Sus scrofa: one gene and its partners. The protein of the gene in region 1 purifies or fractionates together with the protein of each later gene. This does not show direct contact. Links are inferred from orthologs where the notes say so. Each region holds a gene or a part of one and is shown in the gene's direction. Other genes may lie near its edges.

The links.
Region 2: the proteins of EED (region 1) and AEBP2 purify together in Homo sapiens (affinity purification with mass spectrometry; 6 studies listed by BioGRID and IntAct, counting the BioPlex papers as one, with this or other methods). This does not show direct contact. The link is inferred for Sus scrofa from reciprocal best matches to the Homo sapiens genes EED and AEBP2.
Region 3: the proteins of EED (region 1) and DDX5 purify together in Homo sapiens (affinity purification with western blotting; 3 studies listed by BioGRID, with this or other methods). This does not show direct contact. The link is inferred for Sus scrofa from reciprocal best matches to the Homo sapiens genes EED and DDX5.
Region 4: the proteins of EED (region 1) and PHF19 purify together in Homo sapiens (affinity purification with mass spectrometry; 8 studies listed by BioGRID and IntAct, counting the BioPlex papers as one, with this or other methods). This does not show direct contact. The link is inferred for Sus scrofa from reciprocal best matches to the Homo sapiens genes EED and PHF19.

What each region holds. Positions count from the first base shown.
Region 1 is NC_010451.4:20,156,662-20,159,247, forward strand, and holds the end of EED (polycomb protein EED), read left to right. Parts: coding exon 1-17; intron 18-1,264; coding exon 1,265-1,338; intron 1,339-1,751; coding exon 1,752-1,878; 3' UTR 1,879-2,086; downstream 2,087-2,586. UniProt on the Homo sapiens protein: Polycomb group (PcG) protein. Component of the PRC2/EED-EZH2 complex, which methylates 'Lys-9' and 'Lys-27' of histone H3, leading to transcriptional repression of the affected target gene.
Region 2 is NC_010447.5:53,667,488-53,670,987, reverse strand, and holds part of AEBP2 (zinc finger protein AEBP2), read left to right. Parts: intron 1-1,806; coding exon 1,807-2,014; intron 2,015-3,500. UniProt on the Homo sapiens protein: Acts as an accessory subunit for the core Polycomb repressive complex 2 (PRC2), which mediates histone H3K27 (H3K27me3) trimethylation on chromatin leading to transcriptional repression of the affected target gene.
Region 3 is NC_010454.4:14,575,731-14,578,485, forward strand, and holds part of DDX5 (probable ATP-dependent RNA helicase DDX5), read left to right. Parts: intron 1-293; coding exon 294-404; intron 405-961; coding exon 962-1,023; intron 1,024-1,174; coding exon 1,175-1,234; intron 1,235-2,479; coding exon 2,480-2,704; intron 2,705-2,755. UniProt on the Homo sapiens protein: Involved in the alternative regulation of pre-mRNA splicing; its RNA helicase activity is necessary for increasing tau exon 10 inclusion and occurs in a RBM4-dependent manner. Binds to the tau pre-mRNA in the stem-loop region downstream of exon 10.
Region 4 is NC_010443.5:260,913,277-260,916,776, reverse strand, and holds part of PHF19 (PHD finger protein 19), read left to right. Parts: intron 1-424; coding exon 425-506; intron 507-3,319; coding exon 3,320-3,415; intron 3,416-3,500.

The sequences.
Region 1 (2,586 bases):
TGGATTTCTGGCAAAAGGTAGCAATATGTTTTATGTTTTGAAATTATTTGATGTAAAACCATGGCAGTTTTAATTTTCTCTGTAGTGCATTTGTGTTGTGTTTCCTCAAAGTTTAATCTACCTTTTTTAAAAAAAATACTAATTGCTTTGACCTTTGATGTTATTTATTTTGCTTTTTAGGGCCGCACCCGTGGCATATGGAAGTTCCCAGGCCAGGGACTGAATCAGAGGCCTGTGTCACAGCCACAGCAACACAGGATCCAAGTGTGTCTGTGACCTACACCACAGCTCACCCCAACGCCGGATCCTTAACCCACTGAGCAAGGCCAGGGATTGAACCCACAGCCTCATGGCTGCTAATCGGATTCCTTAACCACTGAGCCACGACAGGAACTCCAGCCTTTGATGTTATTTATTCTACCCTTGTGCTCTGCACACCATCCGCAGTGCTTATTATAAATGAAATTGACAAGTGTCAATGGTGACAGGTGTTTATTATCCCTAACATCTATTACTAAGATTTAATGTTTGTTGATTAAAATGTTAATCTGTTTTTTTTTTTTTTTCCTTTCTTTTTAGGGCCACACTGGCAGTATGTGGAGGTTCCCAGGCTAGGGGTCCAATCGGAGCTACAGCTGCTGGCCTATGCCACAGCAATGCCAGATCCACCGTGTCTGTGACCTACACCACAGCTCACGGCAACAACAGATCCCCAGCCCACTGAGTGAGGCCAGGGATCGAACCAGCAAACTCATGGTTCCTAGTCGGATTCATTTCTGCTGTGCCATGATGGGAACTACAGAATGTTAATCTTTTTCTATAGCATTTTCTTAGAAAAACCAACATGGAAGATAGAGACAAGACATTAGTTATCTAATTTCTTGTTTTAAAGAAATTTGGGTATTAATTAGGATTTTGTGATAACAAATTACTTGGATATTTATTTCTATATAAAAGCTTTGCAGATTTTCTACGGCTTTTACTACAGTTCTTTAAGGCAGCATAAGGAATACATGCTAATAACATTGTAAATTTTAAAGTTCTTCATAAACTTGTAAAATATCTTAATTTACTCAAGACACTTTTGTGGGGCATCAGTTGCTCTTTTCTCCTTTACAAATCAGAAATATAAGATGCAAAGACACAATCAAGAGCATTGCCATAGGCTGCAGCTGAGGATCTTCTGAAATAACAAAGTGTCTTAGGATTGCTTGAAATCTTATAGCTTACTTTAATATTTTTTTAAAAAAATGTGTTTATACAGATGCTTGCATTGGGCAATCAAGTTGGTAAACTTTATGTTTGGGATTTAGAAGTAGAAGATCCTCATAAAGCCAAGTAAGTATTTAGAAATTCCTCTTCATAATTTCTGCCTTTTTTCTCCAAAGTGTTAGCTCAATATAAAGGAAGTAATTGATATGTGCAGTGCCATCCTAAATAATTTGTAACATTTACATTCTCAGAGTATTGTAAAGTATTTCTCTTTTATTCTATAACTGTTTTTCCCAAATACTTTGGTAACACGTTATTTCGCTTTTTTTAATTTAAGTTATGGGGTGCCTTTGGGAGTTAAAGTATACCCCAATTTCATGAAATTTGAGATTGAGCCCTTAGTGAAGTCTATTCTGGTTTCAAATGCTTTTCTATATGACTTGGAGCATCTATTCACTTTCTTATTCATTGTGTTAAGTTAGATACTTGACAGTCTTATGTATGTATGGTATTAACCTGTTGTCATGTTTTCTCCCTAGATGTACAACACTGACTCATCATAAATGTGGTGCTGCTATTCGACAAACCAGTTTTAGTAGAGATAGCAGCATTCTTATAGCTGTTTGTGATGATGCCAGTATTTGGCGCTGGGACAGACTTCGATAAAATACTTTTTCCCAATCAAAATCAGTGTGTTTTCTGTGTACATTAGAACTAATGTATCTTGCTAGTAAAGGCACATAGAGCAATTTAGAATTGTCTTTCAGCATTCAATCAGGCTGAGCTGAATGTAGTGATGTTTACATTGTTTACACTCTTTGTACTGTCTCCTGCTCAGATTCTACTGCTTTTAATAAAAATTTATTTTTGTAAAGCTGTGTTATTTTATTTTCTTTGTTCGTTATGATGAAATGTTGAAAGTAATAAAATTGCACCTTATCTTTTTGCAATGATTATTTTTTGTTTGTTTAACTGAAGAAAGGTAGATAATAAAGTGATTATGTATAAGCTCTAGAACTGAACTGAATTTAAATCTTGGCTCTACCACTAACTGACCTTGGGTAAGTAACTTAACATCTTTGTGCCTCAGTTTTCCCCTGTGTAAAACTTACCTCACAGTGTACTTGGTGATTCTGTCCCAAACATAGGGTGATTTGCTTATATCTATGGAAAAGAAACAGTAGCAAGAATAGAATTAAAATATATAAGACCAGAAAAATCCCCAAAGAGTTAGGACCAAGATGACAAGTGGAGCGTTTATCCTAAAACAAAAGAATGAAGAAGGCCTGAGTGAGTGATCATAAATATAAAGGTAGGAGGTGAAATGAGAGGGGAACAAGGGTAAAATACAAAAAACTTCTGTTAAGTTTCTCA
Region 2 (3,500 bases), on another chromosome or scaffold:
ATTTTGCAGTTAAGGACCTCATGGAACTTGAAATTTCTAGGGCTCAAATAGTAATTTGTATTTCCACATAGGAAATCACCAGACCTTTAGTTTATTCCTGCAGAAACAAACTATATGAATAAATTTTTGGATAGTCAAGAGTTGATTCTCATTTGAGAGTGTTTTAGAGATTACAGAGTTTCAGAATGAAGTTTTAGAGTTCAAATTTAGAATCTCTATATTGACTGGTAGATAGCCAGATAGACTTAAATATATGAATATCCTTTAAAAGGAAATCTGAGACATTTTTAAACAACCTAGCTTATTTATTTTATACGTAGTTCGTACCTCTTAAGCCCATACCCCATCCTACCACTTGCTACTTCCCACTTCCCATTCTTAACCACTAGTTTGTTCTCTAATATATGAGTTCAGATTTAGATTTACATTTTTGTGTCTTTGAAATTTTTTATATTAAAAACTTGGAGATAGGGAGGCATTAAAAATTAATATTTTTGGAGTTCCCATTGTGGCTCAGTGGTTAACGAACCTGACCAGGAACCATGAGGTTGTGGGTTCAGTCCCTGGCCTTGCTCAGTGGGTTAAGGATCCGGTGTTGCCGTGAGCTGTGGTGTAGGTTGCAGATGCGGCTTGGATCCTGTGTTGCTGTGGCTATGGCATAGGCCAGTGGCTACAGCTCCGATTGGACCCTTAGCCTGGGAACCTCCATATGCTGCGGGAGTGGCCCTAGAAAAGGCAAAAAGACAAAAAAAAATTAATATTTTTATAATTTACTGGTACTTAATTTGCAGGCAGATATATGGCTTTTGGTGGCTTTAATCTGAAGCATTCTTACTATTGGTCCTTCCGTGATTGAAACTACTTCTGTGTAATTTCTCTATTGAGAAGATATTGAAAAAAGAAAATAAAGTGAATTGCTTATAAAATGAAGGCAAAGGATGTTATATTTTACCATGATGTGAAATTTTGAGCTTTCAAAATTACGAAATTACTTTTGTTACTAATGTCATTTTTTAGTAAACAAGAAGAATTACTAATACTTTGTTTAGTATATAAAAAGTAAAGGGGATTGATTGGCATTTTCAGTCTTTTTTGGTGCATAAAGGTTTAAAAGTTTTTTTGAGTGCCAGGAAAATACTTTTTATTTGGACTTTGGGAAAACCAGGGAAACTTTTTATTGATCTCAGTTTTCTCTCTTTTGCCTTTTTATTAAGAAGGGAAAATACAGCAAAATTTCCCAACTTCTTTGAGATGGAAAGAGGTAGGATGTGATAGTTGTGTTCTCAGATTAGTGAATAGAAGAAAAGATTTCAGTTCAAAAAGTGATTTGCAGAACTCTAAAGATAACCTTTTGATTTTGAATCATGGTCGCTTTATTACTTTATCATGCTTTTTAGAATTGTGGATGAAATGTGATAAGCTGTGTGTGTGTCTGTCTGTGTGTCTGTGTGTCTGTCTGTGTGTGACGGGTTTGTTTTCTGTAGGGTATAGTCTTGGGAACTTCATGGCTGTGGAAAGTTGCTTAAATTATTCCCATATCTGGTTTTGAGGTGCTAGCTTTTTTTGTTTTTATTTTTGTTTTTGTCTTGATTTGCACTTTATTGCAGATAATATTTATTTGAAGTTTAGCTTCAGAGAATAATTGAAACTAAATAATTGTAAAGCAGTGTTGTTTTCTAATGGAAAATATGGTTAGTATGCTTTATGGGCAGATTGTCAAGTAGTTATCTTAATTGAGTATTTATAAGATCATATTCATGTTAGTGAATTTTTAGGAATAACACAGCCTTTTTTCTTCTTTTGTAGCATAAGCAGTACTATAATGGATGTAGACAGCACAATTTCCAGTGGGCGTTCAACTCCAGCAATGATGAATGGACAAGGAAGCACTACTTCTTCAAGCAAAAATATTGCCTATAATTGTTGTTGGGACCAGTGCCAGGCTTGCTTCAACTCTAGTCCAGATCTGGCAGATCACATCCGTTCCATTCATGTAGATGGTCAGCGAGGAGGGGTTGGTTTTGTCATTTCTTTTTTTCACTCCCTGTTTTCATTAGTTTTATTAATTTATAATTGTTAGGGTTTTTTTTTTTTTTTTCCAAAGTAATTTGGGATTGTTTTTACATAGGCTTTATTTTTTCCAATGTATTTTTTTTTTGTTTTGTTTACTTCCCACATATTTGATGGAATCAAATTAAATAGAACATATCATGTGTTGAATTTTAATTTGCTCGGAGTTACATTACTTTGAAGAAATTAGACTTTCTAAAATACATTGGGAATATTGTAAATAAATAAGATACATTCCAAGGTTCTGGTGTTTTAAGTTGAGGACCTTTAGAAATTGGCACTGTTTAGGATTTCTGTTGTTAGAGTGGTCTTAAATTATCCTTGATGCTGAAATTAACTGGAGAAACTATTGGCACCAGGATTAGTGTATACAGTCCTGTTAAACAGCAGTCTGCACTCATTATTTGTGGTAATCTTTCCCAAGTCTTGTCAGAGGTAGCTTAGTATTGACCTGTATTCTTTCGAGAATATTTTGTCAGTTCATAGAATTTTTATTGAATAATGAATAAAGAGTTAAAGCAAATTAGGTGAGTCAGTGTAATGGACCAAAATATTATAAAATTGATAATATTATAAATTTTTGCAACTTTATCTAGCTTTGTCTTGAATGGTAAGCCATACTTAGTACTCTTTCCAGAAATTAATGTCGCGTTGTTAGAATAGATAATTTGTTAGGCCACACATTGTCATCAGTATGCCATCATTGAGATAAAAATGATACTAAAATGGCTAAAATATTCTTGGCTTAAGTGAATGGGTAATTGTTTCCAAGGTTGTATTGATATTTAGACACTCTATTACTGATCTTTTTTTTTTTTTTTTTTTTTAACATGCAGCTGTAATAAGCACTCCTAACATTTTAACCAGTGGTGTTGCATTTGAAATTTTAAAGAAATATTTGCCGTTGTCACAATATTTTGCAATGTGTCAGCAATCTTTCGATGACTTAAACTTGATAGGTAAACATTTGTCTTGTTAGGTTTAATATATATGGGGTTTGGGTAGACACTAGAGGGTGTATTGACGAACTGTGCTCATCGTATGATATTTTCGCTGCATGACCCAGCTCAATGGTTAAGCTACTTTGATAACTGTCTTTATGTATCACATGTATCAAATTTCTAGTGGAACTATCTTTTCTTTTTTTTTTGATTTTCTATGGCTGTACCTGCAGCAGGCTAGGGGTCCAGTTGGAGCTGCAGCTGCCAGCCTGCACCGCGGCCACAGCAATGCCACATCCAAGCTGTGCCTGTGACCTACCCACAGCTCACGGCAACACTGGATCTTTTAACCCGCTAAGAGAAGCCAGGGATCGAACCCACAACCCTATGGGTACTAGTTAGATTCTTAATCCCCTGAGCCACAACGGGACTCCCTCTAGTGGAACTGTCTTAACCGAGTTGACTCTTTTTTTTTTTTTTCCTCTTAGG
Region 3 (2,755 bases), on another chromosome or scaffold:
ATTGAGTCATGCATTTATAGGTTACCTTAAACATGACTTTCAGTCATACTGGAATCTGGCTGTTGAAATTGGTCTATTCATTGTTCTGAAAATTGTTTTGCTTCCTTTGTTCATGTAATTGGTTGTCATCATGTTTCTATCATCTATAGAAAAAAAGATCTGTCTTAACAGGGGCAAGACCAAGGATAGACTGTTTATACGTTTAAGCAGGTGTTTGACTTGTAGCCATATGAGTTGAAGTTAGTGTTTTGCTGACTATAACTTAGAATTCACAATTTTTTGTTTCTTTAAAGACTTATTCGCCTAATGGAAGAGATCATGAGTGAGAAGGAAAATAAAACCATTGTTTTTGTTGAAACCAAAAGAAGATGTGATGAACTTACTAGGAAAATGAGGAGAGATGGGTATGTGGGCTTCCTCCATTGAAGCAGATGTATTAATAAGAGCTGAGTTTAGGGGGAGGGCAGAAACTTTAGTAACGTTAGACTTGAGGTGGGTTGTTTTTTTGTTTTGGTTTTTTTTCCTTTTCTGTTTTGTTTTTTGTGTTTTTAGGGCTGCACCTGCAGCAGCATATGGAAGTTCCCAGGCTGGGGGTTGAACCCGAGCTGTAGCTGCTGGTTTACACCATAGCCACAGCAATGCAGGATCTGAGCTGTGTCTATGACTTAGACCACAGCTCATGGCATTGCCAGATTCTAACCCACTGAAAGAGTCCAGGGATTGAACCTGCGTCGTCATGGATTCTAATGCAGTTCATTACTCCTGAGCCATGAAGGGAGCTCCTGATGGATTTTGACTTTCATCAATGGGGATAATCTGATGGTATAAATGAGAGCGTAGATACATTATTTGAAATTAAAAGGATCTTTGACCAAAAATGTTTATGTGCTTAATTAAATTCTGACAGTTAGACTTTGATGTTTAAATGTGAGTGTATTAATACAACTTCTCTTTAATTTAGGTGGCCTGCCATGGGTATCCATGGTGACAAAAGTCAACAGGAACGTGACTGGGTTCTAAATGGTAAGTATTTCAAGTGAAAGGTTCCCCACCACCACCAGAACCTAAATTCCATTTTGGTCAGTTATTTTCGTGTGTGTGTGTGTGTGTGTGTGTGTGTATATATATATATATATATATATATATATATATACTTTTTTTTTTTTTTTGGCAGAATTCAAACATGGAAAAGCTCCTATTCTGATTGCTACAGATGTGGCCTCCAGAGGGCTAGGTTAGTACAAACTCGAATTCATGGCTTGGTTTCCCAGAAGATCTCCATTAATTTTTTAAAGAAAGTTTATTGCTTTCTTTAACCTCTGCATTTTTTCCAAGTTTTTTTCATATAAAGGTGCAGTCTTTGTGGCAAGGCCTAGGCATGACAATCGGAGGACTCGAGGGGGATGGAGGACTAGTGATCGGCTGGCTGCTTCCAGTCGATTAGAGAGGTGAAAAGCTGAAAGTGTGCCAGTAATCTTCAAAAGGCAGAACATACCACCTCTGCCCCGTAAACTGTTCTCTCCGGGGGAAAAAAATGGAAGTTATCCTCACAGTTCACTGCCGTGGTATTTCTTCTGTCCCATGCTTTGCATGACTGCCATGGTACAGCATTGTTGCAAACTGTTTACTGTGATCTGTGGGTCTTTGAGTTTCAGTGAGTTTGCTGAAATGTCGAAGAAATAGTTCCAAACTTCAATGTTCAATGAAATTTTTGTTCCAAGTTTGAAATGGAGAGAGCAGCTTTAAAAGGTACTAAGCCTTTTACAAATTGGTGAGTACTGGCACATAAGATCCTAGAGCAGGGACAACTTCTCACACCTAGTCAGTGGGAAAAGAAAGCAGTGCTTTGAAAGTTCCTCCCTCACCTACACAGTAGTCGTCATGTCGAGACCTGCCAGAGAGAGACACATTCTCAAGTGAATCCTGGCTTCTTGGAAGCGCTTGCCTAGACGAGACACAGTGCATAAAAACAACTTTTGGGGGACAGGTATGTTTTTCTTGCAGCTGCGGTTGTAAGGTCTTGGCAAGACAAGCAGTGTGGCCAGAAATTTGAACTTCTGATGAGTGTGTAATGCAAAGGACCATGTACCTTTTTCTTGAAAGGTCCTCAAAATGAGCACACGAGGAGGTTGCTGTGAACCTTTAAGTGGCCCTACTGCGCAGAAGCATTCAGATGTCACTTGATGATCTGTAAGGGGACTTGGCTGAATTGGGAATGTATTAGGGAATACACACACGTCCTTTTGACAGGCTCCGTTATTGGGTGGGTCACGAGGCGTATAAGTGACGTGTGCTTCTTATTTTTCTCTCTTCAATCTCAATGGTATTCCTACAGGGAATGGATAACCATTTTAACTGTATTTTTTGCAGCCCATACCTTCTTGGGAATACAATTGTCTAACTTTTTATTTTTGGTCTGGCTGTTGTGGTGTGCAAAACTCCGTACATTGCTATTTTGCCACACTGCAACACCTTACAGATGTGGAAGATGTGAAATTTGTCATCAATTATGACTACCCTAACTCCTCAGAGGATTATATTCATCGAATTGGAAGAACTGCCCGCAGTACCAAAACAGGCACAGCATACACTTTCTTTACACCTAATAACATAAAGCAAGTGAGCGACCTTATCTCTGTGCTTCGTGAAGCTAATCAGGCAATTAATCCCAAGTTGCTTCAGTTGGTCGAAGACAGAGGTTCAGGTAAGACCAGCTTTGGATGAGAAATGTTGATGGTCTTGGGTCACATTAATC
Region 4 (3,500 bases), on another chromosome or scaffold:
GACCAGTGGTGGAAGATGGGAGACTGCTGGGAAATTCTCACCTTGTCCCTCTTGCTCCAAAGCTGAGAGTGGAGGGAGGGGGAGCCTGCAAAAGCAGGTGCCATCCTTAGAGCCAGCATCTTTAGAAAAGTGCTCCAGGTGCCTACAAAACAAAACCAGGTTGGAGAGGATCACAGAGAACACCTGGCCTGTTCTGTCCTAAGCATTCCCACCGAGCTGCCGTCCCCCGGTCCCTGACTGCAGAGCTCCAGTGAGCCGTGGCCACTACCTCCAGAACTGCCACCCTCCTTCCCCTCCCAGCCTAGCTCTGCTTTCTGGACACCCCCCCTGGGGAGGGGGAAACAAAAGTGGGAGAGGAAGACCAGGTTCCAGTGGCTCTTTCCCAGCCACTGTCTCATGCTGCTCCTCCCTCTCTGTGCCCCAGGTCAGCAGTTCAAAGCAGAGCTGCCTTGTGACTTTTGAAGATAATTCCAAGTACTGGGTCCTGTGGAAGGACATACAGCATGGTGAGTATTCCCATGATTTCAGGCACCCCTGCCCCACCCCTGGTCCTCTCTCCTCTACCTCCATTTTTTCCCTCTCTCTTTCTGTCTGTAATTTCTGGCATCTGGCGGTGTCCTTGGAGTGCCAGGCCCACCCGAGGTTATATAGGCATATGGATTTCCAGTTGTACATTTACGTGGAAACACACTTCTGACATCTGTCACCCCCTTGAATACTCAGACCTCAGGAGGGAGGCAGGCAGATGGCTCAGGAGGTGTTGGGAGAGCTCGGATGGGTCCCAGGCCTGTGTTTGCTTCCATGCTGCCCGAAGCTCTGGATCACTCTGGCACTAGGAACAGAGGAGCCCCAGGCAATCAGAATTGTCACCTTTACATCTAAGCACATTGTCCTCCTTAACAATATCAACATGTTAAGAAAACTAGGGAGGTAGCTCTATCCATGGGGAAAAGACAAAAAAAAAAAAAAAAAAAAAGCAGATATGCACCAGGCAGGGTGATGGTAGACATGCCCAGGTGGAGCTGGGACAGTTTTCAGAGTTGAAGGGGAGCTGAGTTGGATACCACCCCTTGGAGAGTTGACACTGTCTTACAGAGATGGGAGTTTGGTGGCATTCTTACCACCATTCTCCCTTCCCATGTCCATGCCAGACATCACTAATCAATCACAATACTCATATATTTTGAACATGGAGCTCCAAGAAACTGCTACCAATCAGAGTCACCACGAGAGAAAAGACCTTTTTGCCAGTTATGCTCTAACAGGAGAACAGACATGGTGGTATGTGGGGGGAAAGGCAGATTTTAGGGTCAGATGGTTCCTGGACCAAGATAGTCTAGCTCTGCCGCATACTAGCTGCCTGTCTTGGAGCAAGTGAGCTAACCTCACTGAGCCTGTGTTTTCATCTGAAAAAAAGGAGATTGTGAAAGTAGGGTCCTCACAGGGTGGTTAAGTGAGATAATCCTTGTAAAATGCTAAGCCCAGTGCTGTTGAGGGAGCAGCAGTTTCTGAAGAATTTGTTACCGTAATAGGTGATTTTAAGAGCCTGCCAAGCAGAGGCCAGTTAGTAGAGCTTGCAAATTGCCTTTTTCTCCAAGACGTTGTGGCTAATGCAGACTGCTTCTCCAAGCCCCTCTCCCTCAAAATGCATCTTTAAAGATCCAAAGCAGGGAGTGCCCGTTGTGGCGCAGTGGTTAACGAATCCGACTAGGAACCATGTGGTTTTGGGTTCAATCCCTGGCCTTGCTCAGTGGGTTAAGGATCCGGTGTTGCCATGAGCTGTGGTGTAGGTCGCAGACGTGGCTCAGATCTGGCATTGCTGTGGCTGTGGCTGGCAGCTGCAGTTCCAATTCAACTCCTAGCCTAGGAACTTCCGTATGTTGCATGTGCAGCTTTAAGAACCAAAAAAAAAAAAAAAAAAAAAAAAAAATCCAAAGCAATGAGGGTCTCCTCTCCTGGGGTACCTTCTTAGCTAAAGGAGGGGAAGCCAGCTGGTGAGCAAGCGAGTTCACCTTAGCAACCGTGAGTAGAAGGCTCACTCTGGGCCCAGCACCCCGAGGAGGTGCTATGCTGCTCACCTCAGGAACCCACAGCTCCCAGGCCACCCAGTGTGAGCGCATGGGCACCACACAGTGAGTACCACCTTCCCAGGAGCATATTCAGGAATAAGAGGCAAGAGACTATTCAACAAGCACGTCTTGAACACCTGTTATGTGCCCTTCCCCATAAGAAGTCTTGGGGACGCAGAGATGAACAGATACCATTTCTTCCCTTGTAGAACCTTCGATCTGCTGGGGGAAATGTGACAGAAGCACACAGAAAATCAAAATGTATTTACTCTATTCACTGAAACCTTTCTCCCATAGATATGTATTTATTCTTCAACAAAAGCAAATTGCAAGGAAAAGAGAGGGATGGAGAGGGAGCCTTTAGATTAAAAGCAATTGAATGAACTTAAGACTTTCTTTTGTAGACAACTGGAAATGTGAACATTAACTGAATTTGTTGTGATATTAAGAAATTACTTTTTAGGTGCAGTAAAGGCGCTGTAGCTTTTTTTTTTTTTTTTTTTTTTTTGGTCTCTTTCATTTTAGGGCCACACCTGCAGCATATTGACATTCCCAGGCTAGGGGTCGAATTGGAGCTGCAGCTGCCGGCTTACACCACAGCCACAGCAGTACAGGATCTAAGCCGCAGCTTGTGGCAAAGCCGGATCCTTAACCCACTGAGTGAGGCCAGGAATGGAACTGTATCCTTGTGGATACTAGTTAGGTTCTTAACCTCTGAGCTGCAGCAGGAACTCCTGTAGTTTTTTGTGTGTTTTTACATAGAGTCCTAATCTTTCAGAGATACATATTGAAATGTTTACAGAAAATGAATGGGTATCTGGGGCTTGATTCACAGTAATTCAGGAGGGGGAAACGGGTGGGAATATAGTCAAAACAAGATTGGCCATGAGTTCATAATTGTTGATAAGAACAGAGAATTTCATTATAACATTCTATTATTACCCCACAACCAAAAGTTTTCAATTAACATAAACTTTAACAAATCAAGCTAAATTAACCAGGAGATAAATTAGGTAGCATGATATAGTCAAATGAATAAATGATTAGATGGCAGACAGCTGTGGGTTTGAATTCCCATCTTTCCTACTGACTAGCTGAGTAAGGGACTTAAGCTCTCTGGGCCTCAGTTTCCCCATCTCTAGAATGGGGGAGTGGTAATAGGCGGCTGTGGGCCCAGCACCTGGAATGTGATTTGAAAACTCCTAATTCCTGTGACCCTGACCTGACCCTAGAGGGCCTCTTTCTTTCAGCCGGAGTTCCTGGGGAGGAGCCCAAGTGCAACATTTGCCTGGGGAAGACCTCAGGGCCTCTGAATGAGATCCTCATCTGTGGGAAGTGTGGCCTGGGTAAGTGTGACGAGCAGGGCACCAGAAGGTCCCGCCCTGTGGCTTTCCATCCCCTGCTGACTTGTGACTTACGTTGCCCCCCACG